Caenorhabditis elegans: one gene and its partners. The protein of the gene in region 1 purifies or fractionates together with the protein of each later gene. This does not show direct contact. Each region holds a gene or a part of one and is shown in the gene's direction. Other genes may lie near its edges. The genes, in order: rde-4, drh-1 and rde-1.

Region 1 (8,462 bases):
TCATTCTCTTGGCTGGAATCATGACAGTTTCCTTCACTTCTTTGCATTTTTTGATGTTTGCATCCTTCTTCGCTTGCTCCTTCAGTTTTCTGCTCTCAATGAATTTCTTCAACTTCTCATCATTGGCTCGATCTTTCTCTGCGGATTCTTGACGAGACTCTTGCTGCTATGGCTTCATGTTCCGCGATGCTTGGGCAATCACTCTCTTTCGCTTTGAAGTGACTTTAATTGGAACTGTTCTTTTAGACAAGAACATATCAAACGAGAGTTCACTTGAAGATGACGAAGAAGAATTTGATGCAGATGGTGATGTAGATCCAGGACTTCTTGATCTTTTTGGAGCAACTCTTGACTGATGTTCCTCTGCTTCAAGTCGAGAAATGATTCTAACAATTCTTCTCGCTTCCCACATTATACTCTCCGAGTTGACATATTTCATGGTAAGTGCCTTGATGCCATGTTGAGATCCGAAGCGAACGGCATTTTGAGTTCGTGGAAAGAAATTCTGAGAATTACTAGAGTAAAATAAAGCATTAAAAGATAAAGAGCAGCGAAGAAAATATAAGTCAGACAATATTCGATGGACCTCAAAATACATAATTATTCAAACAAGAGAAAGAGAGTTTGAGGTGAGACCTCCAGTTGACTGAAAATGTAGAATGAATGACTATTCTAATGGCAACCGGATAATATCATCATAAACGCTGGATGTGCAAACCACGCCCCTTTACCAACAAGTATACGATACTTTGACCCAGTTATCGATCGACGAGGAATGTGAAACAATACAACTTGCACCTCCGTTCTTACATGTACCAAGATTTATGGTCTAACTGTGGCTATTGGCCTTTGGTAACGGATGGGAAAATAGTAACAACCATAATATTACGGGTACACTAAATTCTGAGAATGCGAATTTCGCAACATATTTAACGCGCAAAATATCTCGTAGCGAAAACTACAGTAATTATCTAAATTAATACTGTAACGATCATAAGGGCTACAGTAGTCATTTAAATGATTACTGTAGTTCTCGCTACGAGATATTTTGCGCGTCAGATATGTTGTACAATACGCATTCTCAGAGTTTAGTGTTCACGTAATAAGTAACGCCACAATCAGTTTTGTAGTTTTTCAGACTTCCGTCAAAAACTACCCGTTCATGCCTCAGTGCTTCAGAAAGCTCTTGAAAAATCATACCCTTTTTTTTGTTGTAGCATTCTTCAAATATTCAGTGTCAATAGCAATAGAGTTATTTAAATATGAAACATTTCAGAGATTTTTAATCAAAATGGTATTAACAAATAAGAATGAAGAAAATGAGAGACAACAGAAAAAGCCGTTTTAACAGGATCAGGAGACGTGGGGAGACCTACTTAATAACCTAACAATTAACTATTCTAAAACAGCATTCAAAATGTTTGAGGTTGTCCGGTGGCAATGATTGTATCCAGATCTTTGAGTTGCCGTTCGAATGCGTCAAGCTCTTTTTGTAATTGCCGTTTTTTGAGAACGCTGTAGTAATTTACACCTGAAAATACATACACACTGTAATTGTTAATCAGCAACTTAAAAAATCTTACCATTAAAAGAGAAATAAATCTTGAAAAGTTCAAAACCAGCTCCAGCAGTAAAGCCAACAAAGAACAATCCTTCCCATTTGGAAGAAAGTGAAGTGAGAGCACGTGAAAACGGACGAATCATCTGAAAAATCCAATTTTGGCTAGTTTAAAACTTCAAATCTCACTTTTTGAACGCAAATCCGGCCTTATCTGCCTCGATTAGTTCTCTCTCCAGAAGTTCTCGCTCTTCTTGACGGATTGGTCGCACAAACCTGGAATTTTATGGAAAGTTATATAAAATATAATGGATTTTAATCCTTTACTTGTAGTAGATTCCTGCGTTGATGATACAATATGAAGTACTGAAAACGAGGAAACCAAGGATGGATCGGACAATTACTGAAAAGAAAAAGAATTACTCAGGCAACTCAAATCTAATATGAAAATATTAAATAGCAATATTTTCGTAGTTGGGTGATATTTCAAGATAAAATCGCAATATTCCGAGACTTATTCGAAATCTTTTTAGATTGAGCAATCTTTTGAGAATATTTCGCAATATTTTGAGGTTGATTCGCAATATTTCTGAATCTGAAAATATTACGAAAAATTCGTAATATTTTGAGATGACATAGCAATCTTTTGAGATTGGTTCGCAATCTTTCTGAAATCTAAAAATATTACAAAAAAATGTGTAATATTCTAAGATTAATTTGCAATCTTTTTGCAGTCCATAAAGATTACAAAACACCATTTCCAAATTTCCATCGGCTTTACATGATCGTGATATATATACAACAATTATGATTACTGTTCCGTTCTAAATTCTCTTTTCTTCCAAATGATAAAAGACTTTTCAAAGTAAAAAACAGCTACATGAAAATCTATATAATGGAGCATCTCACTGTTAACGGATATTTGATTTTTCGTTGCATATTGTAGAAGGAGTTTTTGCAGAGAAAGCCATAGAATTCACAAATCTGTCCACTCATGTAATTTTTTCTAGATAATTGGCCGGTCATATTACAAATTCAGTCAAACAATCACGAAGATTGGTCGAATATATTAAAGTAGACTTACAACTATTCATTCACGCGTGATGCGTTTGAGATTTTCTGATTTCAATTGAAATCATAAAATATTGTCAACAGCAAGCATGTTCCCAGTATACTCATCATTTTAATCAAATTGTTAGTGAAAAAAAATATTGAAAAAATAAAATGTTTTTCTCTCTTTGACAAAAATTCGGAAAAATTGCACATCTAACTTTTTTAAAAGCATAACAAATAAATCGTTTTTCCACATTCGCTTTCAAAGAAAGTTATCCAATTTCGCTCTGACACTTAGAAAATTTGCGAAAAGTCACTGATTTCCCATCAAAGGTAACGAAAAGGACGTGCGCCCATCAACTATTTACTTAAGCAATAACTAAATCTAGATGCGACACGTACAGGATGGCTCAACAGGTAAGATAATGGTTTATAGACTCAACGACAAGCGACGGACAAGTTCAACTCCCCTCAATGGCAACAAAAGTTCTTCGAGTTATCACAAAACAGTTCTAGAATAGTCGATGAATGCATTTTTAATATTTAGAGACAAATTCGCAATATTTTGAGACAAAATCGCAATATTCTGAGACGAAATCTCAATCTTTGCAGATGAAATCTCAATCTTCGGAGACGAGTTCGCAGTCTTTTGAGACAAATTAGTAATATTTTGAGATAAAACGGAAGTCTTCCTAGAAATTTTCACACTTTCGCAATATTTTGAGATGAAATTGTAATCTTTTGAGACAAAATTGAAATCTATTCGAAATTTTTAGTAATCGTATATGGACGCACTATTTCTCGTTTTTACTACAAAAATATTGCTATTTAATATTTTCATATTAGATTTGAGTTGCCTGAGTAACTGGAAAATCAATCTTTCAAAGCATTACTCAGGCAACTCAAATCTAATATGAAAATATTAAATAGCAATATTTTTGTAGTAAAAACGAGAAATAGTGCGTCCATATACGATTACTAAAAATTTCGAATAGATTTCAATTTTGTCTCAAAAGATTACAATTTCATCTCAAAATATTGCGAAAGTGTGAAAATTTCTAGGAAGACTTCCGTTTTATCTCAAAATATTACTAATTTGTCTCAAAAGACTGCGAACTCGTCTCCGAAGATTGAGATTTCATCTGCAAAGATTGAGATTTCGTCTCAGAATATTGCGATTTTGTCTCAAAATATTGCGAATTTGTCTCTAAATATTAAAAATGCATTCATCGACTATTCTAGAACTGTTTTGTGATAACTCGAAGAACTTTTGTTGCCATTGAGGGGAGTTGAACTTGTCCGTCGCTTGTCGTTGAGTCTATAAACCATTATCTTACCTGTTGAGCCATCCTGTACGTGTCGCATCTAGATTTAGTTATTGCTTAAGTAAATAGTTGATGGGCGCACGTCCTTTTCGTTACCTTTGATGGGAAATCAGTGACTTTTCGCAAATTTTCTAAGTGTCAGAGCGAAATTGGATAACTTTCTTTGAAAGCGAATGTGGAAAAACGATTTATTTGTTATGCTTTTAAAAAAGTTAGATGTGCAATTTTTCCGAATTTTTGTCAAAGAGAGAAAAACATTTTATTTTTTCAATATTTTTTTTCACTAACAATTTGATTAAAATGATGAGTATACTGGGAACATGCTTGCTGTTGACAATATTTTATGATTTCAATTGAAATCAGAAAATCTCAAACGCATCACGCGTGAATGAATAGTTGTAAGTCTACTTTAATATATTCGACCAATCTTCGTGATTGTTTGACTGAATTTGTAATATGACCGGCCAATTATCTAGAAAAAATTACATGAGTGGACAGATTTGTGAATTCTATGGCTTTCTCTGCAAAAACTCCTTCTACAATATGCAACGAAAAATCAAATATCCGTTAACAGTGAGATGCTCCATTATATAGATTTTCATGTAGCTGTTTTTTACTTTGAAAAGTCTTTTATCATTTGGAAGAAAAGAGAATTTAGAACGGAACAGTAATCATAATTGTTGTATATATATCACGATCATGTGAAGCCGATGGAAATTTGGAAATGGTGTTTCGTAATCTTTATGGACTGCAAAAAGATTGCAAATTAATCTTAGAATATTACACATTTTTTTGTAATATTTTTAGATTTCAGAAAGATTGCGAACCAATCTCAAAAGATTGCTATGTCATCTCAAAATATTACGAATTTTTCGTAATATTTTCAGATTCAGAAATATTGCGAATCAACCTCAAAATATTGCGAAATATTCTCAAAAGATTGCTCAATCTAAAAAGATTTCGAATAAGTCTCGGAATATTGCGATTTTATCTTGAAATATCACCCAACTACGAAAATATTGCTATTTAATATTTTCATATTAGATTTGAGTTGCCTGAGTACTACAACTTGGAAAACATATTCGTCATGTTTCGATTAAATAAATCGTTGTCTAAATCATGTTCTTACCCTTATGAGCGATGTCAAGTCGACGATTTGTGAAGATTCTTCGGTAAAGCGGTCGACTGTCTTCTCTCCTTCGTGCCGCGAACTGAACTCGCGACCAAAACATTCACTGCAAAAATAAAAAAATAAAAAAATTAATTTCAAAGTTAAAAAAATGAACTGTAAAATAAGGAAAACACTTTAAAGATCACTTTGAAAAATATATTTTATTAAAATAAATAAATTTTATTGAAGCAATCGTTATCCGAGAGGAGTACACAGCAAATCGCACAGTTGAAACAAGTGTTACCGTACCACCGGTCTCGTTGCCTTTGATGAGAAATTACCGCAAAACTTGAAAATTGAACGTTTTTTTCTTTTCGTTTCTTTAAACGAGATCCGCTATTATTTTTGTTTCAAATTATATTATTTATAGATGGATTTAACCAAACTAACGTTTGAAAGCGTTTTCGGTGGATCAGATGTTCCTATGAAGCCTTCCCGATCGGAGGATAACAAAACGCCAAGAAACAGAACAGATTTGGAGATGTTTCTGAAGAAAACTCCCCTCATGGTACTAGAAGAGGCTGCTAAGGCTGTCTATCAAAAGACGCCAACTTGGGGCACTGTCGAACTTCCTGAAGGCTTCGAGATGACGTTGATTCTGAATGAAATTACTGTAAAAGGCCAGGCAACAAGCAAGAAAGCTGCGAGACAAAAGGCTGCTGTTGAATATTTACGCAAGGTTGTGGAGAAAGGAAAGCACGAAATCTTTTTCATTCCTGGAACAACCAAAGAAGAAGCTCTTTCGAATATGTAATGCTTTCAAGTTTATCAAATTGAATTATATTTCAATTGTTTTCAGTGATCAAATATCGGATAAGGCTGAGGAATTGAAACGATCAACTTCAGATGCTGTTCAGGATAACGATAACGATGATTCGATTCCTACAAGTGCTGAATTTCCACCTGGTATTTCGCCAACCGAGAATTGGGTCGGAAAGTTGCAGGAAAAATCTCAAAAAAGCAAGCTGCAAGCCCCAATCTATGAAGATTCCAAGAATGAGAGAACCGAGCGTTTCTTGGTTATATGCACGGTAGAACTGCTAATTAATAACTCGAAAATAATAAAAAATTTCAGATGTGCAATCAAAAAACCAGAGGAATCAGAAGTAAGAAGAAGGACGCAAAGAATCTTGCAGCATGGTTGATGTGGAAAGCGTTGGAAGACGGTATCGAATCTCTGGAATCATATGATATGGGTATGCCTCCAAATAATTGTAGTTAATATTTAATTTTACTGCTTTCAGTTGATGTGATTGAAAATTTGGAAGAAGCTGAACATTTACTCGAAATTCAGGATCAAGCATCCAAGATTAAAGACAAGCATTCCGCACTGATTGATATACTCTCGGACAAGAAAAGATTTTCAGACTACAGCATGGATTTCAACGTATTATCAGTGAGCACAATGGGAATACATCAGGTGCTATTGGAAATCTCGTTCCGGCGTCTAGTTTCTCCAGACCCCGACGATTTGGAAATGGGAGCAGAACACACCCAGACTGAAGAAATTATGAAGGCTACTGCCGAGAAGGAAAAGCTACGGAAGAAGAATATGCCAGATTCCGGGCCGCTAGTGTTTGCTGGACATGGTTCATCGGCGGAAGAGGCTAAACAGTGTGCTTGTAAATCGGCGATTATCCATTTCAACACCTATGATTTCACGGATTGAAAATATTATTGCGTATTCCTGAAAAATGAAGCGTCTGAATGATTATATCCTTTTTAAATATTTTTTTGAATAATGCCATTCAGAGTTGAAACTACTCGAAATTATATTTTTGTCGTTCTTTGTGTTTTCTCTCCCTCCATTACTTTTCCTCGTGTCAATTCTACTGTGATTGTTCTTTGTGTGCCTGCCGCGTGGTAAGATTGTGTGCGAAACGTCACAGTTTTGTGCGTTATGGTTTCTATTTCTATGAAGACAATGTGCTCTCACTCCATCAACGGGCGGCTGTGTTTTATCATTACCTCCATCACTTATAGAAACAGTAAATACCAATGATGTTCTTTGTCCGTTTTCTCCCCAACGTGGTTCCATCAATCATCAATAGAATTCTATAGAAGATGCGTAATCTCTATGCCTCTGACCTCTACAAAACTCTTTTCCACACTCATTCTCTGCAGTGCACGAGAGCGAGATTTAGAGAAGAAAAGAAAAAAGTGTGCGGCCTGCGCGCCGCCCGTCCTCATTTTTGAACGAGTGTGGGTCGCGGTCGCAAATTGTTTCACCTTCACAGCGTAGTTAAAATGTTTCAATAAAATTTATCATCATTTTCAAGTTCTCAAATGATAAATCTCATCTGTTTTTTTTAATTGCGTGACCCGCCACATTGATATGACGATGCAAGTTTTCCAATTTTAAATTTTCGTGATTTCCAGGTTTAATCCGACCAGAAAATGTCGCTCTCTGGAATGGCTATTCGCAGACTTATCACCAAGGGAGTCATCCCTGTGTGTCAAGTCGCTCCACTTTCAACATCTGCTGAAGGATCCACCAATTTGAAGGAGGTTCTTTCCAAGAAGATCCCAGCCCACAACGCTAAAGTGAAGTCATTCCGCACAGAGCACGGTAGCACCGTCGTTCAAAATGTGAACATTGACATGGTAAGCAACTACTAGGAAGTTTAAATTCATAGTCTCTTTTTCAAGATCTACGGAGGCATGAGAAGCATGAAGGGAATGGTCACCGAAACCTCAGTTCTTGACCCAGAGGAGGGAATCAGATTCCGTGGATACTCTATCCCAGAATGCCAAAAGCTTCTTCCAAAAGCAAAGGGAGGAGAAGAGCCGCTTCCAGAAGCCATTTGGTGGCTTTTGTGTACAGGAGATGTTCCATCCGAGGCCCAGACTGCCGCTATCACAAAAGAATGGAACGCCCGTGCCGATCTTCCAACCCACGTTGTCCGAATGCTCGACAACTTCCCAGATAACCTCCATCCAATGGCTCAATTCATCGCCGCTATCGCTGCTTTGAACAATGAAAGCAAATTCGCCGGAGCTTATGCTCGTGGAGTCGCCAAGGCCTCCTACTGGGAGTACGCTTATGAGGTAAACATCAAAAAACAACAGCTGTCTCTTTGAACGGATGACTGACATAAACAGTTTTCAGGACTCAATGGATCTTCTCGCTAAATTGCCAACTGTTGCCGCTATCATCTATCGCAACCTGTACCGTGATGGATCTGCAGTCAGTGTCATCGATCCAAAGAAAGATTGGTCCGCCAACTTCTCTTCTATGCTTGGATATGATGATCCACTTTTCGCTGAGCTTATGAGACTCTACCTTGTTATTCACTCTGATCACGAAGGAGGAAATGTATCCGCTCACACTTCCCATCTTGTAGGATCTGCTCTT
Region 2 (12,632 bases), on another chromosome or scaffold:
CAACTGGCTCTGGAAAAACTGTAATCGCTGCGAATATTATCAAAGAACATTTTGAGTCGAGGTCAAGTGAAGGAAAACGATTTAAGGTTGCTTTTCGCTATTTTAAAGTTTAAAATCCGAATCTTCAGGCTCTCTTCATGACACCGAACTCAATGATCTTGAATCAACAGGAGACTCGGATTTCGTCATATTTAGCACATCTTTACCCTTTATTTTGTATATGCAAATAATCAATTTTTAGAATATCTATTTTCAGACTCAGACTATTCAAGGATCCGATAATGTTCCAACGAGAAATGTTATTCAATCCAAAGATCTCATTGTTGCAACACCTCAGATGATTGTGTTAGTTTATTAATTATCAATATTTCCCAAATTAATAGTTTAATTTCAGAAATCTTTGCAATGAGCACCGAGACCCACTTGACGATGAATATCCACCAGAGCAGTTCTTCCTGTCAACTTTCACAATTATTTTCTTCGATGAGTGCCATAATACCGTCAAAAATTCCCCATATTCAAGTAGGTCTCAAAATAATTCTTCTTTTATTTATTTTTTCCTTTCAGATGTAATGCGAGAATACCACTACCTAAAGAATATGGGAAACATGCCAGAAGGACACAGTTTTCCACAAATCATTGGTCTGACAGCATCTCTTGGAACTGGCGACAAAAAGAATTGCATGCAAGTCAGGAGTTATATTGCTGGTCTCTGTGCAAATATGGACGTCAAGGAGCTAAGCATTGTTAAAGATAATTTGGAAGAGCTGTTGGATCACAATCCGTTTGTCACGGATCGTAAGCTATTTTCTTTTCATATCTTTTGAAAAGTCTAGTTTTCTTCACAACATTACAATTTGGATAGTATAGTAGCATTCGTTCGAGAGTTTTCTAATATTTTTTTTTTCATTACAGAGGTCTCATTTTGCGAAAGAAGCAATGATGGCCCGATTGAAATGTTCACGAAGAGGCTCAAACAGATGATGCAAGAAGTGGAAGATCTCATCAGAACAACATTAAGTACGAATTTAATGAAAATAGAGAGAATTTGTCTTATTTTCAGAAAACGAACCTACCGTAAAGTATGAAATCCCACCGACTGATAAGGAGCATAATCGTTATGAAAACTGGATTTCCAATCAGAGAAATTGTGTCTCGCTGGCGGGTTCCAGGAACAAAACGCTCATCATTGAGGTGTTGGATGTGTTGAAGGTACAGTACATGTTCTCTCAAATGAAGATTTTCTGGAATTATTTTAGAAAATATCGTTTCGGTTTTAAAAGAATATTTCAATTTCAGGACTGTTTCTATGCCTTGTCATACAACATTAATTTCAATCCCGAAGTTGCATTGAAGAAGTATTTGGAAAAGGAATTGGGTCCCGAAAGGATACGAAATTTCACCGACAACATGAATTTAATATGGGACAGTGAGTTTCACGAATTCAGCTAGAAAATAAATATATGAATTTTAAAGATTGTCATCGCGAATTGGTTGGAATTGGTTCAGCGGAAAATCCAATGATTGCTAGAACTGTGCAGTTTATTTTAGACCAAAATGAGCAAACATCCGACTTTCGTGCCATCATTTTTGTACGAACAAAAAAGGAAGCAGACTTTCTCAATTATGTTTTGAATGATCGATTGCATGAGCTTGGAATCAAATCTGATTGGATGTCCGGTACAGTTTTCCAAAATGTTGTAGATAAATAATAAAAAAACTGATTTTGAATTTCTTAATCAAGTTTTTACGGGCTTTTTTACAGGACAGAAAAAGTCGACTGCGAGCAGCGCCGATATCTCAGCATCGAAACAAAAACAAATGGAAAAGTTGAAAATGTTTGCTGATGGAGAAAATCAAATTCTCGTCTCAACCTCTGTTGCTGAAGAAGGATTAGATATTCCAGAATGCAGTCTTGTCATCAAATATAACTATGCAACAAATGAAACTGCTCACGTTCAACGAAGAGGACGAGCAAGAGCTCGAAACTCAAAATGTGTGCTCATCACAAATAGCATTGCACTTCATGTCCAGGAAAGCAATAATCTAGCAAAAGTGAGTAATTAATGTGCATATATAAATTGTTTTAACATTTCAATCTCTTTTTAGGAAAATCTAATGACCGAAACGATCTCCCTAATCCAAAATTCGCCAGGAGAATTCCGACAATGTGTAGATGAGGAAAGCAATAAAGTCTGGCCTCGAATCCAGAGAGAAGATACCGATAAAGCACAAAGAATTAAAGAGCAAATTAATCGGAATATTGTGTACAAGATCGTTTGTATGAAATGTGATACAGTTTTGTGCACGAATAAGGATATTCGATCAAAAAACACGCAATACATTGTGTGTAATCCCGGATTTTGGAGTCTCGTTCGAAGAATTCCCTTGCCACTTGAACAAAGGGCATCAAATAAATTTAATTCAACTGGATCGGTGAGAGTCAAAGAGATTCGTAAAAAAGATTTTATAATATATGCATCTAAACTTATTTAGATTGAATGTCTTGGCGAGAGGTGTGGTTCGAAACTTGGACAGTTGATCGACGTGAATACAGTGAATCTCCCGTGTCTGAAAGTAAAATGTTGGTTTTTTTCTCATTTCAAAATAGAAAAATGTCCCACGACATCACATCATCCAAGATTGGGCCGTTATTTGCAGTCCGGAGATTAGAACATTTTATAGCTCTATAGATTATTAAAAAGTGAGAGTGAGCCCCAATCTAGGATGTATAATAATAAATGTAAAAATTGAGTTATTTTCAGCTATCCTGCTACTGATTGAAAGTACCAATGAACGGATCCTCGTTAAACAATGGAAAAATGTATGTTTAACGATCAAAATATACAAGATTCGGTACAAGTTTTTTTTCAGATTCTGGATGAACATTTCACACCGACCACACTAAAGCAGCGAGATGTTCAAACAATGAAAGACGCGGATTATGGTCGAGCACCAATCGAATTTGAGCATCATACAGCTAATGGAGAAGTAATCAATGTAATTAGACAAGCATAACTTGAGGCATTCCAATTTAATTTAGTATTTGATAATTTCTACGAGGGTCTTGTTTTAATGCTTTATTTCATTCTTTCCGATTTCATATCAAACTCTCAAAATAAGACATTCCGCAATTGCAATTGTACTATTATTGTAAATTACTCATTTTATAAATAAATATTTTTCTATTTTGAATGTAAATTCGACCATCTTTCTTGTTTCGATTTTTCCTTTTAATTGCGGTTTATTCCAATTTAATTAATATGCTAAATACCGTTTTTCCTGTGTATTTTTGGTTTTTTGTGTGTTTTTTCTCGGCAAAATTCTTAAAATGAGTTTCTCTGCTTTATTTTGAATTTTGGAAAAGTTAATATTTTCTTTTGTCGACAGCTCTGGTGAGAGAGTGCGGTTCCAGTGTATTAGTAGAGAGACGCAGACGTGCACTCAGCTGTCAGCAAGCGTGCTCAGTTGAACGAACACTGTATTTCTTGTTTTTTCTCGAATTAAATCTAAATGTTTTTCAGAAATAATGTTTCTTTGAGCCCGTTTCTCTTAGTTTTTCTCAAAAATCTAAATTTGCAGATAAAATGAGGAAAAAGCAGTGTTCTTCAATATTATCCCTCTACGACAAAGAGATCATACTCTGCCTCGAGCCGATCTACCGTGATCCGGAAAAAGTGAGCTGGAAATGCATTTTCTGCCACGCTTCAATCGTTTTTTTTTCAGGGTGATGGATTTTCCGAGCTGCTCCCGCTAGGAAGGATCGACGAATTGAAAATTCAATCTGAAAATGCGCAGGAATTCTCGAAGCAACTGTATCACGATCTGAAAAACAGTATATTGTCAAACGCTGATGATGAGCGGCTTTACAAAGATATTATGACATATCTGCAAACTTATCGTATGTGATGGAACTATTTAAAAATAATAATTATAAGTTTTCAGTTCCAAAATGCACGGTGCATAAGCTTCTTAACTGTTCGAACAGAGAAGTGAAATTGAGCGATTTTCAGTTTGTGAACAAATGTTTTATTCAAAGTTGAATTAAAATCTTATTTTCAGCTACATTCTCGATCACTTCGAAGGTTTCCTACGCTTCATTGAACCAAAAGTGGTTCTGGCTTATCTGGACTCGTACCCTCAATACATCGACGCCGTTGCAGTTCTGAGAAAAGAAATAGAGCGCAACGAAGAAGACAATCAAGACTCGGATTTCATAAAGAAGCTAATTCTTCGAACTGTGCCTCTGCTCGGAGAGCAAGCGGTATACGATATAATGTATACAATTTCGGAGAAAAGTTCAAATAACCTCGATGTCGAGGCGAAGCAATTTATCGCCAAAGTTTTGCGATTGAAAAACGATGGATTCCTCAGGTTTTACCGTACGCATCTATTATCAATAGATAATTGTGAAAATTACATAATTTTATCGTGTTATAGAAATCATCAATGCAAGTAGAAGACAGTTGAATGGAAGAATATACATTTGTCCAGTACATGAATCCGCTACGGAAATGATGGTCTATTTAGGAACTGCGGCTTTGAATACTAACCGATACAGGTGAATTTTAATTGATAAAATACAATTGCGCTACTGTTTTGGAAGAATACTAATTTTTATCGAAAATTGGAGATACGACTGAAAATGTATACAATTTTCATTCGTATCAATTGTTAGTATGCTATCTAGAATCACTATGATAAATTCCGGCAGAAAAACACCCGCCACACGCATTGCTAACTCTTAAATGTACGGGAATGTTTGTTGAGAGGCGCAGAAAGTGCAGCAGTGCCAATTTATATATCTTTCTCATTTTAAACATCTTTGAGCATTTTTTTCACATAAATCTAGTGTTATCGAGTATTCATTCTTAATAACTAATTTTTCAGAATGATCAATATTCGTGTCGACAACATTGTACAAGAAAATTCAACTCCTCGTCTTGTAATTGAATCTGTTCGTCAACGAATTCATCGGCGTAAGTTTCCATCCTAAATTTGCCTGGAAATATAATTAAACTGCGTTATCTTCCAGAAAGACAGTTATGCCTTCGAAATTACCAAGAGGAACTCTGCCAGGTGGCTCTTCAAGGCAAAAATACAATTGTTACTGCTCCAACTGGCTCTGGAAAAACTGTAATCGCTGCGAATATTATCAAAGAACATTTTGAGTCGAGGTCAAGTGAAGGAAAACGATTTAAGGTTGCTTTTCGCTATTTTAAAGTTTAAAATTCGAATCTTCAGGCTCTCTTCATGACACCGAACTCGATGATTCTGAATCAACAGGCGGCTAGCATTTCATCATATTTGGATCATGTTTATCATGTTTGTTTCGTATTCGAATACTCAGATAGTAAATTAATAATTTCTTTTAGACTCAGATCATTCAAGGATCCGATAATGTTCCAACGAGAAATGTTATTCAATCCAAAGATCTCATTGTTGCAACACCTCAGATGATTGTGTTAGTTTATTAATTATCAATATTTCCCAAATTAATAGTTTAATTTCAGAAATCTCTGCAATGAGCATCGAAACTCACTCGACGATGAGTCTAGATTGGATCAGTTTTTCCTCTCGACGTTTACCATTATTTTCTTCGATGAGTGTCACAATACAGTCAAGAATTCTCCATATTCAAGTTGGTTTCGTAATTAAAAATACTATTAATATAAGTTGTCATTTTCAGATATTATGAGAGAATACCACTACCTAAAGAATATGGGAAACATGCCAGAAGGACACAGTCTTCCACAAATCATTGGTCTGACAGCATCCCTTGGAACTGGCGATAAAAATGATTGTCTACAAGTCAGGAATTATATTGCTGGTCTCTGTGCAAGTATGGACGTCAAGGACTTGAGCATTGTTAAGGATAATTTGGAAGAATTAAGAGGTTATTCGCCGATTGTCCCAGACAGTGAGTTAATTTATTTTCTTAGGGGTACCGTACTCCTTGATGATGAATTTATTTATTAAATTTACAGAGGTCTTACTTTGCGAAAGAAGTACTGATGGCCCGATTGGAATGTTCACGAATAGGCTTACACTTATGATGCAAGAAGTTGAAGGCCTAATCAGAACCGCACTACGTATGCTCAGACAGAAAATTGAGAGAATTTATCTTATTTTCAGGAAATGAGCATATCGGGATTGAGCAAAGACGACAGATTGAAACGACTGAACGAGATTTCCGTCCGGATAGTAGTTTTCTCGACCCGCCAGCTGATAAAGAGCATGCTGGTTATCAGAACTGGGTTTGTAATCAAATGAATCTGGTCTCAGGGACGAGTTTCCGAGAAACCGGGACAAGGACTATAATTAATGAGGCATTGGATGTGTTAAAAGTTAGTGTGTGATCATTTACACTCAAAATAATGAAACTGCGTTGCGTGTACGACCAAATAGGCCCCGCCTTTTAATCGTCCACTCACGGGGAAAGGCAAAAATAGGGGAGGGGGACAGCTCGCCACGCCAACAGTGAGAAAAATAGTGTGTTGCGCGGACCTCGAATGATGTCGGCGGCTGATATTGCCTGGGGTACCGCTTTTTGCCTTTTCCCCGTGAGTGAGCGAAAAAAAGGGGCAAATACTGTTTTACTACTTGATCTTTTACTACGTATCTCTTTTACTACAAGATCTCTTTTACTACAAGATCTCTTTTACTACGGAATCTCTTTTACTACGAATTCCGCATTTAGATCTTTTACTACAATTGGCTCTTTTACTACGTGTTCTCTTTTACTACGATTTTATCACATAGATCTTTTACTACGAAAAATACTTTTTTACTACCTCATCTTTTACTACGTGGATGTTTTACTACGTTTTACTCTTTTGCTACGGACGTATTTTTACTACGTGGAGGGATATTGTTGGGTTACTGTAGTGGTATTGTATAAGTAACAGTTTTCAGATTACGTATTATAGTTTTTTTTTAATTTCTAGAAATTTATTCACTATGAAAAACGATAAATTGCTTATTCTATACAAGATTTGATAAATCCAGAAAAAAACAAGTTTTTGATCAAAAGTTTTTGCAAATTTAAAGTTTTTGATCAAAATTTCAGTTGAAGTCAAAATTTCAAACATCTGGCATATAACTGACCGAACCCGCAAGTTGCTTATTACATTTTAAAAACTTATAAATCAACCGGTAGGGAACTAATTTGTTGGTAACGCGAAAAAAGTTAATTACTCCCACAGTATCACTACAGTAATCCAACAGGATCCCTCCACTAACTCCATCTCAGTATCCAAAAAATAAACAACTGAAATTTACTAGAACTACTTGTGCACAAACTACAATTGTGACCTATATATTTTTAAAAAATATTCATAGATTTGTTTATATCTAGACTATCCTATAAAAATTAATTTTTAATTCGTAGTAAAAGATACGAAACAAAATATAATCCCTGCCATTGTAGTAAAAATTTTTTCATGGTGAATAAATTTCTAGAAATTAAAAAAAAAACTATAATATATTATCTGAAAACTGTTACTTATACAATACCACTACAGTAACCCAACAGTATCCCTCCACGTAGTAAAAGATGAGGTAGTAAAAAAGTATTTTCCGTAGTAAAAGATCTATGTGGTCAAATCGTAGTAAAAGATATCACGTAGTAAAAGAGCTAACTGTAGTAAAAGATCTAGATGCGGAATTCGTAGTAAAAGAGATCTTGTAGTAAAAGAGATACGGAGTAAAAGATCAAGTAGTAAAACAGTATTTGCCAAAAAAAGGCGGGGCCTATTTTGGCGTACACGCAACGCAGTTTTATTATTTTGAGTGTATAAGATTGAAACTATTCTGAATTCGATTCCAGGAATGTTTCTGTACTTTGTCATACAACATTAATTTCCATCCCGAAGTTGCATTGAATTACTTGAAAGATGAGATGGAATATCGGACACCAAATTTCACTGTCAACATGATTAGAATATGGGAACGTGAGTTTTATCACTTACTTAACGTTAAAAATTCTCAATTTTAAAGGTTATCACAACCAATTGGTCGGAACTGGTTCAGCGGAAAATCCCATGATTTCTAAAACAGTGCAGTATATTGTTGAACAAAATTTGCAAAGAGCCGATTCTCGAACAATCATTTTTGTGCGAACTAGATACGAGGCAACGATTCTCAATAAAGTTTTGAATTCGAACGAAGAATTGCTGATGCTTGGAATCAAATCTGAATGGATGTCTGGTAGAGTTATTCGTTTTGAAAACATAACTTATTCATTTTTATTACAGGATTGAACAAGTCGACTGCGAGCAGCGCCGATATCTCAGCATCGAAACAAAAACAAATGGAAAAGTTGAAAATGTTTGCTGATGGAGAAATTCGAATTCTCGTATCAACTTCTGTTGCTGAAGAAGGATTGGATGTTCCTGAATGTAGTCTTGTCATCAAGTATAACTATGCAACAAATGAAATTGCTCACGTTCAACGAAGAGGTCGTGGAAGAGCTCTCAACTCAGAATGTGTGCTCATCACGAATAGCATAGCACTTCGAGACCAGGAAAGTAACAATCGGGATAAAGTTAGTAATTAAGATCAACGAATTAGTTGAAAATATTAATGTATTTTTCTTAGGAAAGTCTAATGTCTGAGACAATCTCCCTAATCCAAAATTCGCCAGCTGAGTTCCGAAAATGTGTAGACGAGGAAAGCAATAAAATATGGCCTCGAATCCTGAGAGAAGATACCGATAAAGCGCAAAAAATCGAGGAGCAAATTAATCGAAATATTGTATACAAGATCATCTGTAAAAAATGTGAAGCGATTTTGTGTACAAGCAAGGATATTCGATCAAGAAATACTCAATACCTTGTCTGTGATCCGGGATTCTGGAGCCTCGTTCGAAAAACTCGCCTGACGGATGAGCAACAAGCATTAATTAAATATAATGCAACTGGATCGGTGAGAACCTAAAAGATTAGTGACACAGTTTTTGAATGTAAACTCGTTCAGATTAATTGTCGCCGCGAAAATTGTGGTTTAAAGCTTGGTCAGTTGATTGAAGTGAATACAGTGGATCTTCCATGTCTATCAGCTCTTTGTGGGTTTTCTTTACATGCTTATTTTATTTAATTCTTAATTCTATTAATTATTTAATTTTCAGCTATCGTGTTGCTAGTCGAAGGTACCGATAAACGGATCATCGTCAAGAAATGGAAAAATGTAAGTTTTGTGTGCAGACTTTTCTCGTTTTTCGAAAAAAAAATTCTTTCAGATTCTTGACAAATATTTCACACCGACCGAAATACGACAATTGGATGTTCAAACAATGAGAGATGCGGATCAAGCTCGAACACCAATGGTATTTGAGCATCACGCGAATGGAGAAGTAGTCAATTTAATCAGAGAAGCATAAGAAGACATTCTTATTTAATTCAGTATTTGACAATTTCTACGAGTTTCTTATTTTCATGCTTTATTTTAGTCTCTCCGGTTTCATATCAAATTCCCAGAGATTAAGTAATGCATTCCACAAGTGTACCATTGTTTATTACTCATTTCCGTGTTTTTAAAAAAATAAATTTCACAGCTTTTTTATTCGGCATTGTTTCTTTTTCAGCATTGCGGTTTATTCCAATTTAATTCATATGCATCTTTCTTCTCAATCTTTCAGGTTTCCGTATGACTTATTCTACCCACATTTGTGGTATGTAACATGTAGGTTGTAGTGTGACGATAAGACTTCTTATCAAATCACATCAACTAAAGTTTTTTCGTCATTTCAGCCATTTCGATCAGAGTATTTTATTTTAGTCTACCATTTTGAAGTTTGGCATTTCGTGTTGTCCTGAAAGTTATTTTTTTAATATGGTAGATTTCTAATCTCAATTTGAAAACAACTCTTATAAATTCACTAAAACTTCATATTTTCTAAAAAATCCTGTATCTACTCAGCGATTTTTTGCGATATTGTAAAATTTTCTCGATGATTGTTCAAAAAAAAATCTACAGCTGCTTATTGTAATATCCTCAATCCAACCGCAATTCCAACATCAAGATGACCAAAACCTCACTTTTGAATTGTCTAACACTCTGCGTTTATTCACATTTTTACTCTCCCACTCCACTTGCCAATCGCTCAGTTCCAATCATTTTCGTTCACAATCTCAGCGGACACACACGCACACACTGGGAATGTATTCAAACACACAAACAACACAGTTTCGATTGTAGTTTGTGCTGATCATTTTTTCTTTCATTAATTCATCAGACCAGTTGTGTGTTTTTCGAGATTTTTTTTTGTAATGTTGCGAGTTTTTGTCTCTTTGCTTGGATAATTGGGCAAAAAACATGAATTTAAATTCTCTAACCCTAAAAAAGACTTATTTTCGCTTCTTATATGTCTGAATTTTTGTAGTTTTTTTAGACAAAAAAACATTTTTGCCAAAAAACCAAAAAAGACAAGCATATTTCGCACTGGTGACGAGGGTTTGGAAATTACAGTAGTCTCTCAAGGCGCATGCCTTTAACAAAAACTTGTCGTGGCGAGACCATGTACTGTATTTTTTTTGGCAAAATTACTCAATTTTAACTTTTTCCAATTTTCTGGGCCATTTTCAAGGAAAATCACTTTTTTAATGTAATGTGTTCGTTCAAAGGTTTCTATGGAATTCCTACGACAAAATTGGTTGGCAATAATCTTTTTCATTCTCTTTCTTGTCTTCTTTTTCCTACTGCATTTTCTTATATTTCCTTTTTTCAATATATCACCAATTTTTTCCAGTAAGAATGGCATCGGCAGTTGCACCGATTTTCGGTGTACTTGGTAGTTGTATGGGATGTATGGTTTTTGTGGAGAACATCGCAAAGTGAGAAAACCTACAGAATACCCTACAAAATAGCATCTTTCAAAAACACGATTAAAAAAAACCGGTTTTCGGGTACAAAAAATGTGTAGCAAGAATCTGATGAAAGTATTTTGAGGTCAAATAATAAATTTAACAAAATTAAAAATTTAATTTAAAAACTTAAAAATCAAACATAGAAGCGTTAAAAAAATAAATTTACAGACAAGAGCCATCTGCCATGAACCTGATGACATTTTCTACATTTCTCTTCATCTCTACAGTAGGACTCGTCTCAACTTCCAAATTCTTCACAGTTAAAAATCAAATTCCATTAAAGTGAGTTTATTGCTCTTATTTTAGTAAAAATCGTTAATTTTTTCAGAGGTTATTTCAAGACGGTTACCATGTTCTTCATTGTCAATGTTGTCAATAATCAAGCTCTCAATTTCCATGTGCCTGTTCCACTTCATATCATCTTCAGATCGGTGAGCGCCAGGAATTTCGCAGGGGAATTTTTTCAGTTTTTTCTGAAAAAAACCCAAAAAATTAACAAACTATTTCCAAATTTTCGATGAATTTATGACATATGAAAATATGTAATTCGAAACCAAAAATTACAGGTATTTTTTGAAAAATCTTTTTAAAAAATTAAAATGTTCGATTTTCCAAAAAATACACCCTTGGCGGATGATTAGTTTTAGAGGTTTTATAAGCAATTTAAATTATGTAAAATTCATTCAAAACCGGCTAAACCTACTTTTTCAGGGTTCTCTTCTTGCCACATTGATTCTCTCAGTTGTTATGGTTGGTAAAAGTTATTCTGCTCGGAAATACATTTCCGTATTCGCTATTACCATCGGAATTGTCATTTGCACACTTGCCACGTCAACACAAGGAGATTCGGGACTTTCGATGGAAGAAGCATCGAAACATTATAAGGAATGGACGATTGGAATTATTATGCTCACTTTTGCTCTATTGGCTTCAGCTGTTTTAGCAATCTATCAACAACAAATGTACGAGAAGTATGGGAAACATCCAGATGAAGCTATGTTCATTACTGTAAGTAACCTCATTCAAATTCAATAATTTTGACTGAACTTATTTCTAGCATTTGATCTCACTTCCATTCTTCCTCATCATGGGAAGCGACATTGTGTCAGCGGCTACGAAACTTTCTGCCAGTGCTCCACATTCTGTATTCCCATGGCTTCCATCTCTCTGGGTTGATTTGATTGCAAGTTGTCTTCTTCAGTAAGTGAATTTTAGATATTAGCAAATAAATATAATATTTCTTTCAGATACGGATGCATCAAGTACGTCTATCAACTGAACTCTCGTGTTGATTCGCTCACCGTCACGCTGGTTGTTACTCTTCGGAAATTCCTCTCACTTATCGTTTCCATTGTCTATTTCAAGAATCCATTTACACGTAAGATTATTATTGACTTTTTTAATTGTAAAAGTGATTAGAAAGGTTCCTGGTCTCGACACAATCGAAACTTCGCGGTTACCATACCTAAAGCATATTTTTAGAGTTTCGCTCAATTTTTCATAATTTATAATGCAAAAATTAGAACATTTTTCCTGATGGAGATCAATCAAAATATTGAAGAAAAAAAACAGAAAAGTCGTAGAAAATTAGAACACTTGCGGGTACGGTAGCTGGGAAGTTTTGGTCGTTCAGAGACCGGGTACCATATCTTTGTACCAAAATCAAATGTTTTAAAAAACGTTATGTGATTCTTTTGGTCGTAAACTAGGGCTCCATAATCTAATCTGAAAGGAAAAAAAAAGAAATACTAAAAAATCGTCTTTAGA
Region 3 (11,097 bases), on another chromosome or scaffold:
AAACATTTTGGAAAATATTGCCTAACTCCTCATTTCCCACACTTTCAGTCGTTATTCATATGAACTCTCATCATCTCAGCTTTCATTGATATGGTCTTCTCTAGCTGGATGTTTATTTATTGGAGCCATGATTGGAGCATATATTTCAATTTTCCTATTACAATCAATTGGGCCACGAAATAGTCTTCTTTTGGCTGCTATTTTACAATTATTCTCTGCGCCAGTATTTGGTCTGGCATATTCATTGAGATTATGTGAACTTTTACCTATTTCGAGAATCCTTTCTGGTATTGCATTTGCAATTGGAATATCTGCACAAGGTGTATTTTTAACAGAGATTAGTCCAGGTATCATTTGAAATTGAACTACTAATATTTTCCATATTTGCAGCCAAGTTCCGTGGTTTAACCAACTCTCTTAGCGGTCTCATCGGAAATTGTGCATTCCTCTTAGCAGCAACTCTTGGAACCCCATATGTACTAGGAACAGTAACCCAGTGGAAATATATTTTTTTTATTGAAACAATACCATGTGTACTACACATTTTGGTAAATATCACAACATTCCATGATAGTCCTACATACTTACTATCAATCGGAAAGATTTCTGAAGGAGAATCGGCTATAAAAGTGTATTATGGTGAAACATGTCATATCAAGAAAATTATGGAAGATTTGAGAATTATCGATAATGGAGTGAAAGAAAAGAGCCTTCGACAAATTTTGAAGGATAAGGGATGTGCACAAGCATTGTCACTTGCTGTTGCTATCAACTTTTCAGTAGCTTTTAGGTAAGAAAAAGATCCTGTAATTGTTACCCACGAGTGTTTGGTAAACTTATCCATTTACTACCATTTTTTGCAGTTTTTATGTTTTCCAACACATTTTTTGGGGTTTTCAGTGTTCCCTTCGGAATTAAATTACAGATGTCAAATTTCAAACGTAACACCTAAAAACTTTTTAAAAAGTCATATTCGGAAAATCCCGACATAAAATGATTTTGTAAGGCGACATAATAGCAAGAATATACAATTTTCAGTGGTATTGTTGCCATCTCATTCTTCGGGACGTTTTTATTACAAACAATTGGATTTTCACCAGAGGGATCCGCAGTGGCAAACAGTTTATGCAGTTTTGCATCGATAGTTTCAGCACTACTAGCTGCCATAGCTATGGATAAGGTTTCTATAATTATTATTTTTAAACTGGATTATTATCACATTTTAATTTAGATTGGCCGTCGTCCACTTCTTATCACATCTCTTTTAGTTCTTGCTCTTATAAATATTTTTATGATGTCCCTGGTATTCTTATACGACTCTACGAAAGATTCATTCCTCGCTTGGCCATTTTTGGCATTATTTGTATTATTCACATTTGTTTTTAGCATTGGAATTGGACCGGCTGCAGTCTTCATTGGAGCAGAACTTGCTCCACCTGGAACCATTTCTAAAATGCAGAGTTATAGCACTTCCGTACAGTGAGTTTCTGCATTTTGCACTAGATTAATATTTGAATTTTTGAATTTCAGATTTGCCGGATCTTTTATTTGTCCAATCATTTATCTCCAACTAGTCGAATCTATTGGCGGATTTGCATTTATGTTATTTATTGTTCCACTTACAATCACAGCAGCCTATTTTTATATGTAAGATTTAATTCCTTGTTTAACAATTCCTTATGATTATTTCAGGTACCTTCCTGAAACCAAAGGAAAATCTCCGGTGGAAATATATGGGCTTCTTCAATGATAAATATCACGGTTTTTACTTTTTCCTATGCTTTAGATTTCATCAAAGTTACCGGTGTTCTTTAAATATTCTCAAAAAAATAAGTAAACTGTAGTATACAAAAACTTAAATCTTCTAGTTGAAATTACAGTACTCTTTGTATCTTTGTAGGCGTGTCCTTTGCGCCTACAAAGAGTACTGTAATTTCAAACGTTCGTTTCTGCGGATAGTTTTTCATTTTTTCCAGTATTTGTTGAAAATATATTTATTTATTGAAAAAATACATTTCAACAAAAACAAAATGTTATTATCAAAATATAAAAACTGTCACCTCAAATTTGACTGCAGCAACGCGCGCGAAATTTTTGCTCTCGATTCCGCATGGCGTAAAAACACCTGTAACCACGGCCCCGCGGGTGGTGACAGAAACCGGAGACGAGAAAATGCGAAGATACAACGCAAAAACTGATGTTTCTAGCGTTTTCTCTTCTCCCGCTTCTGTCATCACCCGCGAGACCGTGGTCCCAACTGTTTTTACGGCATGCGGAATCGAGAGCGAAAATTTCGCGCGCGTTGCTGCAGTCAAATTTGAGGTGACAGTTTTTATATTTTGATAATAACAAATCGTGAGAAGAACTATGAAAAGTCGATGAAAATTCCACGAGTTTTAACTTACAGTAACCTTTGAAGGAGCACGCCCGCTTGTGTTTTTGACGCAAAGAATCGCGACTGTGTAACTACTTGTTTTCGTTATAAAATTATTCTTTTTATTCACTTTTGTATTTAGCATTGGAATGGGACCGGCTGCAGCCTTTATTGGAGCCGAACTTGCTCCACCAAATTTCCAAAAATGCAAAACTAGGTTTTTGGTTTCCTGTAACCAAAATATAGTCTTCGGTGGGAATATATGAACTTTTTCAATTATAATGTTTTCTTCTATTTCTATTACTTCGATGTCATCAAGGTTACCGGTGTTCTTTATTTATTCTCAAAAATTAAATAAACTATATACAAAAATCCATAAATTAATTGACATGTGAAAAATACTATTTTGGTTGAACTTGAATATGAAACTTCACAGAAGGTACACTTTCGATTGTTGGAGTTACAATTGCCTGAAACGAACAAACGTAGATTACGCAAAAAAAGAAAGAACTCACTCTAATATTAAGACCAGCAAGGGCTCCGCGAAGTAAACCACATGGAAAAGCAAGGAAATATCCACTTTCTTTCACGTATTGATCACCTTCGGGAAAACTTCGCAGCGTTGTAAATCTTCCATCTTGAACAACATAGACACCCTGAAAGATATAAGTTTTGGAAATAAAATCGTTTGAAAAATAATATACCTGATGATTTGTGCGGAGATTATCGACTTGCTTGCCAAACACTGATGACCAGAAATCCTTGCAAATGAACTTTACAATCTGATTTTTTTAAATTACAACCGGATAAAACTTGTCACAAAATTCTTACTTCTAACTCAGTGACCAATTTCGGAGACTCTTTTGATACTTTTTCCACGAGCTGCCTTCCAACTCTGAATCCGATCGACTCAAGTTTAGTCTCTGCATTTGCCTGAAGAACACACATTGGAAGACGTATTCTAACATTTAACTTACGTGAAGAAAAGCTTTTTGAACTAAGCTTTCGTACTTTTCAATATCAGCTGGACCATTCAAGTTATCGATAATCTGAAAAGTGATTTCCAATAAAATAAATTGAAACTCAGAAATCAAGAAAAACTCACTGTTCCAAACTTTTCCTTTGCTTCACATCGATCTTTTTCACTTTCCAAAGTTGAACGGATAATTTCCAAATGTAAAATATCAAAAGGAAACGCCATAAAAAATTTCTTGAAGGGAAATAAAAAATAAATAAATTGGAAAGAGTGGTTCTGCAAACACGGGGACGAAGTATTGCGGAGGAAACAGCGCAAATGACGACATTCCTCATGCTAAAAATATTTTCAAAAAACATTTTTTCTCGCTTAAAAATGCCTTGTAACACTGTTCAACTTAATTAGAGATTAAAACTTAACTTTTTCTATCTTCAATTATCAAATATACTTCTTTTTTAATCATAAACGTTGTTTATTGGTAATTTCTAGATAATCAACAGCCACAAAGTGATGAAACATGTCCTCGAATTTTCCCGAATTGGAAAAAGGATTTTATCGTCATTCTCTCGATCCGGTATGATCAATTATTAGCAGCTATAAGATATATAAGTTTGATATTAATATTATAGGAGATGAAATGGCTTGCGAGGCCCACTGGTAAATGCGACGGCAAATTCTATGAGAAGAAAGTACTTCTTTTGGTAAATTGGTTCAAGTTCTCCAGCAAAATTTACGATCGGGAATACTACGAGTATGAAGTGAAAATGACAAAGGAAGTATTGAATAGAAAACCAGGAAAACCTTTCCCAAAAAAGACAGAAATTCCAATGTAAGTGCTTGTAAATTAGTCAAAACTAATTTTATTTTTCAGTCCCGATCGTGCAAAACTCTTCTGGCAACATCTTCGGCATGAGAAGAAGCAGACAGATTTTATTCTCGAAGACTATGTTTTTGATGAAAAGGACACTGTTTATAGTGTTTGTCGACTGAACACTGTCACATCAAAAATGCTGGTTTCGGAGAAAGTAGTAAAAAAGGATTCGGAGAAAAAAGATGAAAAGGATTTGGAGAAAAAAATCTTATACACAATGATACTTACCTATCGTAAAAAATTTCACCTGAACTTTAGTCGAGAAAATCCGGAAAAAGACGAAGAAGCGAATCGGAGTTACAAATTCCTGAAGGTTTATGAAAAACACGCATTATAACAAACAAAATTAGCTTTCAGAATGTTATGACCCAGAAAGTTCGCTACGCGCCTTTTGTGAACGAGGAGATTAAAGTGTGAGTTGCAATAATAATAATAATAATCACCTCAACTCATTTATATATTTTAAGACAATTCGCGAAAAATTTTGTGTACGATAATAATTCAATTCTGCGAGTTCCTGAATCGTTTCACGATCCAAACAGATTCGAACAATCATTAGAAGTAGCACCAAGAATCGAAGCATGGTTTGGAATTTACATTGGAATCAAAGAATTGTTCGATGGTGAACCTGTGCTCAATTTTGCAAGTAAGTTTGAGAAACTGCGATAAAAAATCATGTGATTTTTGTTGAAGTTGTCGATAAACTATTCTACAATGCACCGAAAATGTCTCTTCTGGATTATCTTCTCCTAATTGTCGACCCCCAGTCGTGTAACGATGATGTACGAAAAGATCTTAAAACAAAACTGATGGCGGGAAAAATGACAATCAGACAAGCCGCGCGGCCAAGAATTCGACAATTATTGGAAAATTTGAAGCTGAAATGCGCAGAAGTTTGGGATAACGAAATGTTAGTTTAAATTATTCAAACAATTAATATACAAATTGATTTTCAGGTCGAGATTGACAGAACGACATCTGACATTTCTAGATTTGTGCGAGGAAAACTCTCTTGTTTATAAAGTCACTGGTAAATCGGACAGAGGAAGAAATGCAAAAAAGTACGATACTACATTGTTCAAAATCTATGAGGAAAACAAAAAGTTCATTGAGTTTCCCCACCTACCACTAGTCAAAGTTAAAAGTGGAGCAAAAGAATACGCTGTACCAATGGAACATCTTGAAGTTCATGAGAAGCCACAAAGATACAAGAATCGAATTGATCTGGTGATGCAAGACAAGTTTCTAAAGCGAGCTACACGAAAACCTCACGACTACAAAGAAAATACCCTAAAAATGCTGAAAGAATTGGATTTCTCTTCTGAAGAGCTAAATTTTGTTGAAAGATTTGGATTATGCTCCAAACTTCAGATGATCGAATGTCCAGGAAAGGTTTTGAAAGAGCCAATGCTTGTGAATAGTGTAAATGAACAAATTAAAATGACACCAGTGATTCGTGGATTTCAAGAAAAACAATTGAATGTGGTTCCCGAAAAAGAACTTTGCTGTGCTGTTTTTGTAGTCAACGAAACAGCGGGAAATCCATGCTTAGAAGAGAACGACGTTGTGTAAGTGTTTTCTACGTAGATTATTCCGAAATATTTTCAGTAAGTTCTACACCGAACTAATTGGTGGTTGCAAGTTCCGTGGAATACGAATTGGTGCCAATGAAAACAGAGGAGCGCAATCTATTATGTACGACGCGACGAAAAATGAATATGCCGTAAGTTTCAGAAAATTGAAAGTTTTTAAATATCATATTTACAGTTCTACAAAAATTGTACACTAAATACCGGAATCGGTAGATTTGAAATAGCCGCAACAGAAGCGAAGAATATGTTTGAACGTCTTCCCGATAAAGAACAAAAAGTCTTAATGTTCATTATCATTTCCAAACGACAACTGAATGCTTACGGTTTTGTGAAACATTATTGCGATCACACCATCGGTGTAGCTAATCAGCATATTACTTCTGAAACAGTCACAAAAGCTTTGGCATCACTAAGGCACGAGAAAGGATCAAAACGAATTTTCTATCAAATTGCATTGAAAATCAACGCGAAATTAGGAGGTATTAACCAGGAGCTTGACTGGTCAGAAATTGCAGAAATATCACCAGAAGAAAAAGAAAGACGGAAAACAATGCCATTAACTATGTATGTTGGAATTGATGTAACTCATCCAACCTCCTACAGTGGAATTGATTATTCTATAGCGGCTGTAGTAGCGAGTATCAATCCAGGTGGAACTATCTATCGAAATATGATTGTGACTCAAGAAGAATGTCGTCCCGGTGAGCGTGCAGTGGCTCATGGACGGGAAAGAACAGATATTTTGGAAGCAAAGTTCGTGAAATTGCTCAGAGAATTCGCAGAAGTGAGTTGTCTTGAGTATTTAAAAGATCTCTGGGATTTTTAATTTTTTTGTAAACTTTCAGAACAACGACAATCGAGCACCAGCGCATATTGTAGTCTATCGAGACGGAGTTAGCGATTCGGAGATGCTACGTGTTAGTCATGATGAGCTTCGATCTTTAAAAAGCGAAGTAAAACAATTCATGTCGGAACGGGATGGAGAAGATCCAGAGCCGAAGTACACGTTCATTGTGATTCAGAAAAGACACAATACACGATTGCTTCGAAGAATGGAAAAAGATAAGCCAGTGGTCAATAAAGATCTTACTCCTGCTGAAACAGATGTCGCTGTTGCTGCTGTTAAACAATGGGAGGAGGATATGAAAGAAAGCAAAGAAACTGGAATTGTGAACCCATCATCCGGAACAACTGTGGATAAACTTATCGTTTCGAAATACAAATTCGATTTTTTCTTGGCATCTCATCATGGTGTCCTTGGTACATCTCGTCCAGGACATTACACTGTTATGTATGACGATAAAGGAATGAGCCAAGATGAAGTCTATGTAAGCGTTTTGAATAGCAGTTAGCGATTTTAGGATTTTGTAATCCGCATATAGTTATTATAAAAAAATGTTTCAGAAAATGACCTACGGACTTGCTTTTCTCTCTGCTAGATGTCGAAAACCCATCTCGTTGCCTGTTCCGGTTCATTATGCTCATTTATCATGTGAAAAAGCGAAAGAGCTTTATCGAACTTACAAGGAACATTACATCGGTGACTATGCACAGCCACGGACTCGACACGAAATGGAACATTTTCTCCAAACTAACGTGAAGTACCCTGGAATGTCGTTCGCATAACATTTTGCAAAAGTGTCGCCCGTTTCAATCAAATTTTTCAATTGTAGATATTGTACTTACTTTTTTTTAAAGCCCGGTTTCAAAAATTCATTCCATGACTAACGTTTTCATAAATTACTTGAAATTTATTCTGTGTTTATTATTTATTACCTCTAAATTTCGTTTTGAACGTGAGCATCATATCTTAAACTACTTATTGATAACGGTTTCATAAAGATAGGTAATTTGATTTTTAAAATGTTTTCTCTCTGCAGGTGATTTCACGACTTCTTGGACAGTTCGGTCACAAGATGACATCGCTCATTGGTACTCACTCCGGAAAATTCCATTGCGATGAGGCTTTTGCTTGTTTCATGCTGAAACAATTGCCACAATTCAAGGATCATTCGATTTTAAGGTAATTCGATTTTTCATGTTTATCAAGTTTGCGAAATGACCCACTTTTTTATTAGGATTTATTTTATAGCTGAGTTCTGAAATCTGTAATTTCAGAACCCGTGACGCTGCTCAACTGGAGAAGTGTGATATTATCGTCGATGTCGGTGGAATCTTTGATCATTCAAAACAACGATACGATCATCATCAACGTGGATTCACTGATACCATGCGTACTCTAGAGAAGCTTAACTTTGATACAAAACTAAGCTCTGCAGGATTAGTTTACGCTCACTACGGGAGAGAAGTCATCAATCAGGTAACTTTCAATAATCAAAAGGTTGTTTTGAAACTATTAACTTCAGATCCTTGGTGGAAATGTGTCATCCTCGATGATTGATCTATTCTATCATCGTCTCTACGAGCAATTCGTTGAATCAATCGACGCCATTGATAACGGGATTTCTCAATACGACGGAGTTCCAAGATATCATTCATCAGGAAATCTTTCATCGCGTACTGGTCAATTCAATTCCCATTGGAATGAACCTGAGAATGATGCTGATGAACGATTCCAACAAGCAATGCAATTCATCGGTGAAGAGTTTTCACGATCAGTGAAGTACTTGGCAAATGTTTGGTGGCCAGCTAGAGAGATCATCGAAGCTGCTGTGGATAAACGATTTGAAATTGATGCATCTGGAAGGATCATTCTTATCGAGAACGGTGGATGCCCGTGGAAAGAACACTTTTTCGACATTGAAGTAGAGAAGAATATTGCCGACGATAATATCACTTACATTCTGTTCTCGGGTTAGAAATTATTTAATTTTTTAAAATTCAATAATTATTATCTGTTTTCTAGATTCTACCAATGCTTCGTGGCGCGTTCAAGCAATCCCAGTCGACAAAATGTCATCATTCGAGAATCGCATGCCACTTCCAGCTGCTTGGCGTGGTCTCCGTGATGACGATCTTTCGAAGGAAAGTGGAATCCCAGGCGGAGTCTTTGTCCACATTTCCGGATTCATTGGAGGAAATCTGACTCGTGAAGGAGCAATTGCCATGGCACGGAAAGCTCTCGAAATAGGAGAAGAGAATCCAGTGAAAAAAGCTAAATTGGGTAATTAGATCTAATCTATCTAAAATTAATTACTGTTTTCATTTGTTTTGTTTGAATTTGTCCAGCTGATATTTCAGTGATCCTTTGATATTTTATTACGTTCAATAAACTTCCTCCCCGATGTCACTTTGCTTTTCTTCTTTTCTTTTTCCATCTCTTACACTCCAGTTGTCTATAAAATTTGTCACGTGTCATAACGGTCCGGTTCTTGCCTGAATCTTTATACTTCTAAATCAGTGAGCCATTGGTATTTTCTAAGCTTAACAGATGACTACGCCGTCTACAAGTTCTGAAACTGTATGGAAATATGTGGGAATAACAGCAGCCACAGGTGCGGCTGTAGGTATATTTCTATACTATGCAAGAAAAGATGACCGAAATATCGTCGAAATCGAACGACTTCAGATGATGACCGAGGTTCTAGGGTATCAAAATGAAGTACGAAAGTTGTTTCAGAAAAAATAATTTTAGTGCCAAAGTTGACGATCTCGAAACTCTGCTGAAAACCATGTACGATGAAATCAAAAGTCAACGCGCACTTCGAACTTCTTTGAGTAGTGGAGCTCTCAAGACTGTATCTTTCAAATTAGGTAATTGAAAAAAAGTAGAAATATAAATTATATATTTTTCAGAAGCGAGTAATAGCCGTCCTTCTACCTACAAACAAATGTCAAGGACCAGAAGCTGGACTTCGATTACTTCAGATTCAGAGTATGGAGACGCCGAAGAAGATTGGTAATCATTTGCTGCCAAAGATGTCAATAATAGATCCAGAAATCAGAATGATAAGATTAAAAATCTCCACAATCATAAATTGAAAAGATAAGATAGATCTCTATAAATAATGACGTCAACTCTTGCCCGATGTCACCCTTTACATCTGATAATCTGTTCTCGTGAGCTCCCAAGAAACTTCTTTACACTTTGTGAGACAAGATTTTTGGGAGAGAGAAAACGTCTGCATTTCTCTTGAGTTCTGTTTCAACAATGAATTCTATTATTATCTTGTCACTAATAATTATTCAATTTCTGTCGATTTGTGATGCCAGGTAAAAAACATCTAGACTTATATTTTTCGATGACTCACCCACCATGGTAGATCAAAATCTTGTTTTTTTTGACCAACAAAATTTTCAATCGTTTTTGCAGGTACACTGACGACCGCGCATTTGGTGACTCAAAATCGCTCAGCAGATCCTTATCGCAGGTCAGTTGGAGTATTTTTGTCTTCTTTTTCCGACTTTCTTCTCTCGAAAAAAACCCTAGAATATGCTGGACCTTATACTTTGTTCCCATCTTTTGTTGCCAGAAAATATCTGTAAAACTTTTAGATTTGAACATTTCAAAGTTATCTTTAGCAAAGCGATATCAAGTTTATATTCTTTAACTTTTACATATATTTTCTATGATTCATTTGAATATTCTCGAACGAATTCTGTGCTTCCAAACATTTTTTGTTTGTGTGTAGCCTATAAAGAACATCTCTAACTGCCTATTTCCTCTGACAGCCGTCACTCTCTTCTTTCTCGCGTAGCGCTCGTGAATCAGTATACACAAAACTGCTGTTCTCGTCTTCTGTTGTCTTCCCATTTTTGATACGAATTTGCTCTCTTTTTTCTTCTTTCATTTTCTTTCCTCCGAAATGCCTTAGCTTTGCCTGATTGCTGGCAATTCAAAATGATAAGAAATATTTAAGTTCTCTTTTTAACGAAAAGTTATTTGATTTCAGACCACCGCTCATTCAAAAACAATGTCCTTCGAAGATCTTGATGCTCTTTTCGGAACAGACCGCGTCCAGGAGGGGTATGATGCTTTAAAGAAGGTAGACTGTTCATTTATATATTTAAACAATAAAATATAATTTTAAATTTGCAGAGATACGATGCTGGAGAGAAGTCCATTGATGTTCTTTGGCGCTTGGCCAAATTCTGTAACGAAATTGGAAATCGTGTTGAGAAGGACAAGAGAAAGGACATCATCGTTGAAGGAAAGAAGTACGCTACCGAAGCCTGGAACACCGATTCCAACAACTTCTTGGCTGCTCGCTGGGCTGCATTGATGTCGGGAAAGGTCACCGAGTACCTTGGAACCAAGGAAAAGATTGAGGAGGGAAAACACTGTAAGGAATATCTCGATCGTGCCATCTCTATCCAGCCAAAG

Evidence for each region.
Region 2: the proteins of rde-4 (region 1) and drh-1 purify together in Caenorhabditis elegans (affinity purification with mass spectrometry, with the first as the bait; one study listed by BioGRID). This does not show direct contact.
Region 3: the proteins of rde-4 (region 1) and rde-1 purify together in Caenorhabditis elegans (affinity purification with western blotting; one study listed by BioGRID). This does not show direct contact.

What each region holds. Positions count from the first base shown.
Region 1 is NC_003281.10:10,215,660-10,224,121, reverse strand, and holds rde-4 (DRBM domain-containing protein), read left to right. Parts: upstream 1-5,475; 5' UTR 5,476-5,477; coding exon 5,478-5,857; intron 5,858-5,906; coding exon 5,907-6,138; intron 6,139-6,182; coding exon 6,183-6,303; intron 6,304-6,351; coding exon 6,352-6,776; 3' UTR 6,777-6,820; downstream 6,821-8,462. Other genes in the region: Y70G10A.4 (ATP synthase subunit e, mitochondrial), read right to left, coding at 1,413-1,531, 1,584-1,704; cox-14 (Cytochrome c oxidase assembly factor 3), read right to left, coding at 1,701-1,704, 1,748-1,834, 1,886-1,961, 5,066-5,168; cts-1 (putative citrate synthase, mitochondrial), read left to right, coding at 7,505-7,711, 7,757-8,155, 8,217-8,462.
Region 2 is NC_003282.8:6,604,304-6,616,935, reverse strand, and holds drh-1 (RNA helicase), read left to right. Parts: upstream 1-3,582; 5' UTR 3,583-3,587; coding exon 3,588-3,677; intron 3,678-3,726; coding exon 3,727-3,901; intron 3,902-3,945; coding exon 3,946-4,012; intron 4,013-4,062; coding exon 4,063-4,382; intron 4,383-4,440; coding exon 4,441-4,561; intron 4,562-4,890; coding exon 4,891-4,979; intron 4,980-5,035; coding exon 5,036-5,202; intron 5,203-5,244; coding exon 5,245-5,325; intron 5,326-5,375; coding exon 5,376-5,464; intron 5,465-5,513; coding exon 5,514-5,641; intron 5,642-5,689; coding exon 5,690-5,920; intron 5,921-5,987; coding exon 5,988-6,092; intron 6,093-6,135; coding exon 6,136-6,347; intron 6,348-7,828; coding exon 7,829-7,952; intron 7,953-7,998; coding exon 7,999-8,208; intron 8,209-8,255; coding exon 8,256-8,545; intron 8,546-8,598; coding exon 8,599-8,925; intron 8,926-8,976; coding exon 8,977-9,064; intron 9,065-9,127; coding exon 9,128-9,186; intron 9,187-9,238; and 3 more. Other genes in the region: nstp-2 (UDP-xylose and UDP-N-acetylglucosamine transporter), read left to right, coding at 10,753-10,832, 11,034-11,147, 11,194-11,296, 11,577-11,873, 11,923-12,065, 12,113-12,243.
Region 3 is NC_003283.11:9,984,385-9,995,481, reverse strand, and holds rde-1 (Piwi domain-containing protein), read left to right. Parts: upstream 1-3,839; 5' UTR 3,840-3,867; coding exon 3,868-3,924; intron 3,925-3,979; coding exon 3,980-4,179; intron 4,180-4,221; coding exon 4,222-4,534; intron 4,535-4,578; coding exon 4,579-4,634; intron 4,635-4,688; coding exon 4,689-4,867; intron 4,868-4,914; coding exon 4,915-5,131; intron 5,132-5,177; coding exon 5,178-5,789; intron 5,790-5,829; coding exon 5,830-5,944; intron 5,945-5,988; coding exon 5,989-6,597; intron 6,598-6,658; coding exon 6,659-7,141; intron 7,142-7,217; coding exon 7,218-7,439; 3' UTR 7,440-7,566; downstream 7,567-11,097. Other genes in the region: K08H10.6 (Major facilitator superfamily (MFS) profile domain-containing protein), read left to right, coding at 49-347, 391-790, 1,039-1,180, 1,232-1,479, 1,531-1,647, 1,693-1,750; trpp-6 (Trafficking protein particle complex subunit 6B), read right to left, coding at 2,776-2,844, 2,890-3,030, 3,079-3,156, 3,206-3,307, 3,352-3,423, 3,480-3,575; MYG1 protein C27H6.8, read left to right, coding at 7,730-7,836, 7,932-8,133, 8,180-8,627, 8,680-8,945; rmd-2 (TPR_REGION domain-containing protein), read left to right, coding at 9,205-9,362, 9,409-9,527, 9,570-9,672, 10,087-10,144, 10,667-10,759, 10,813-11,097.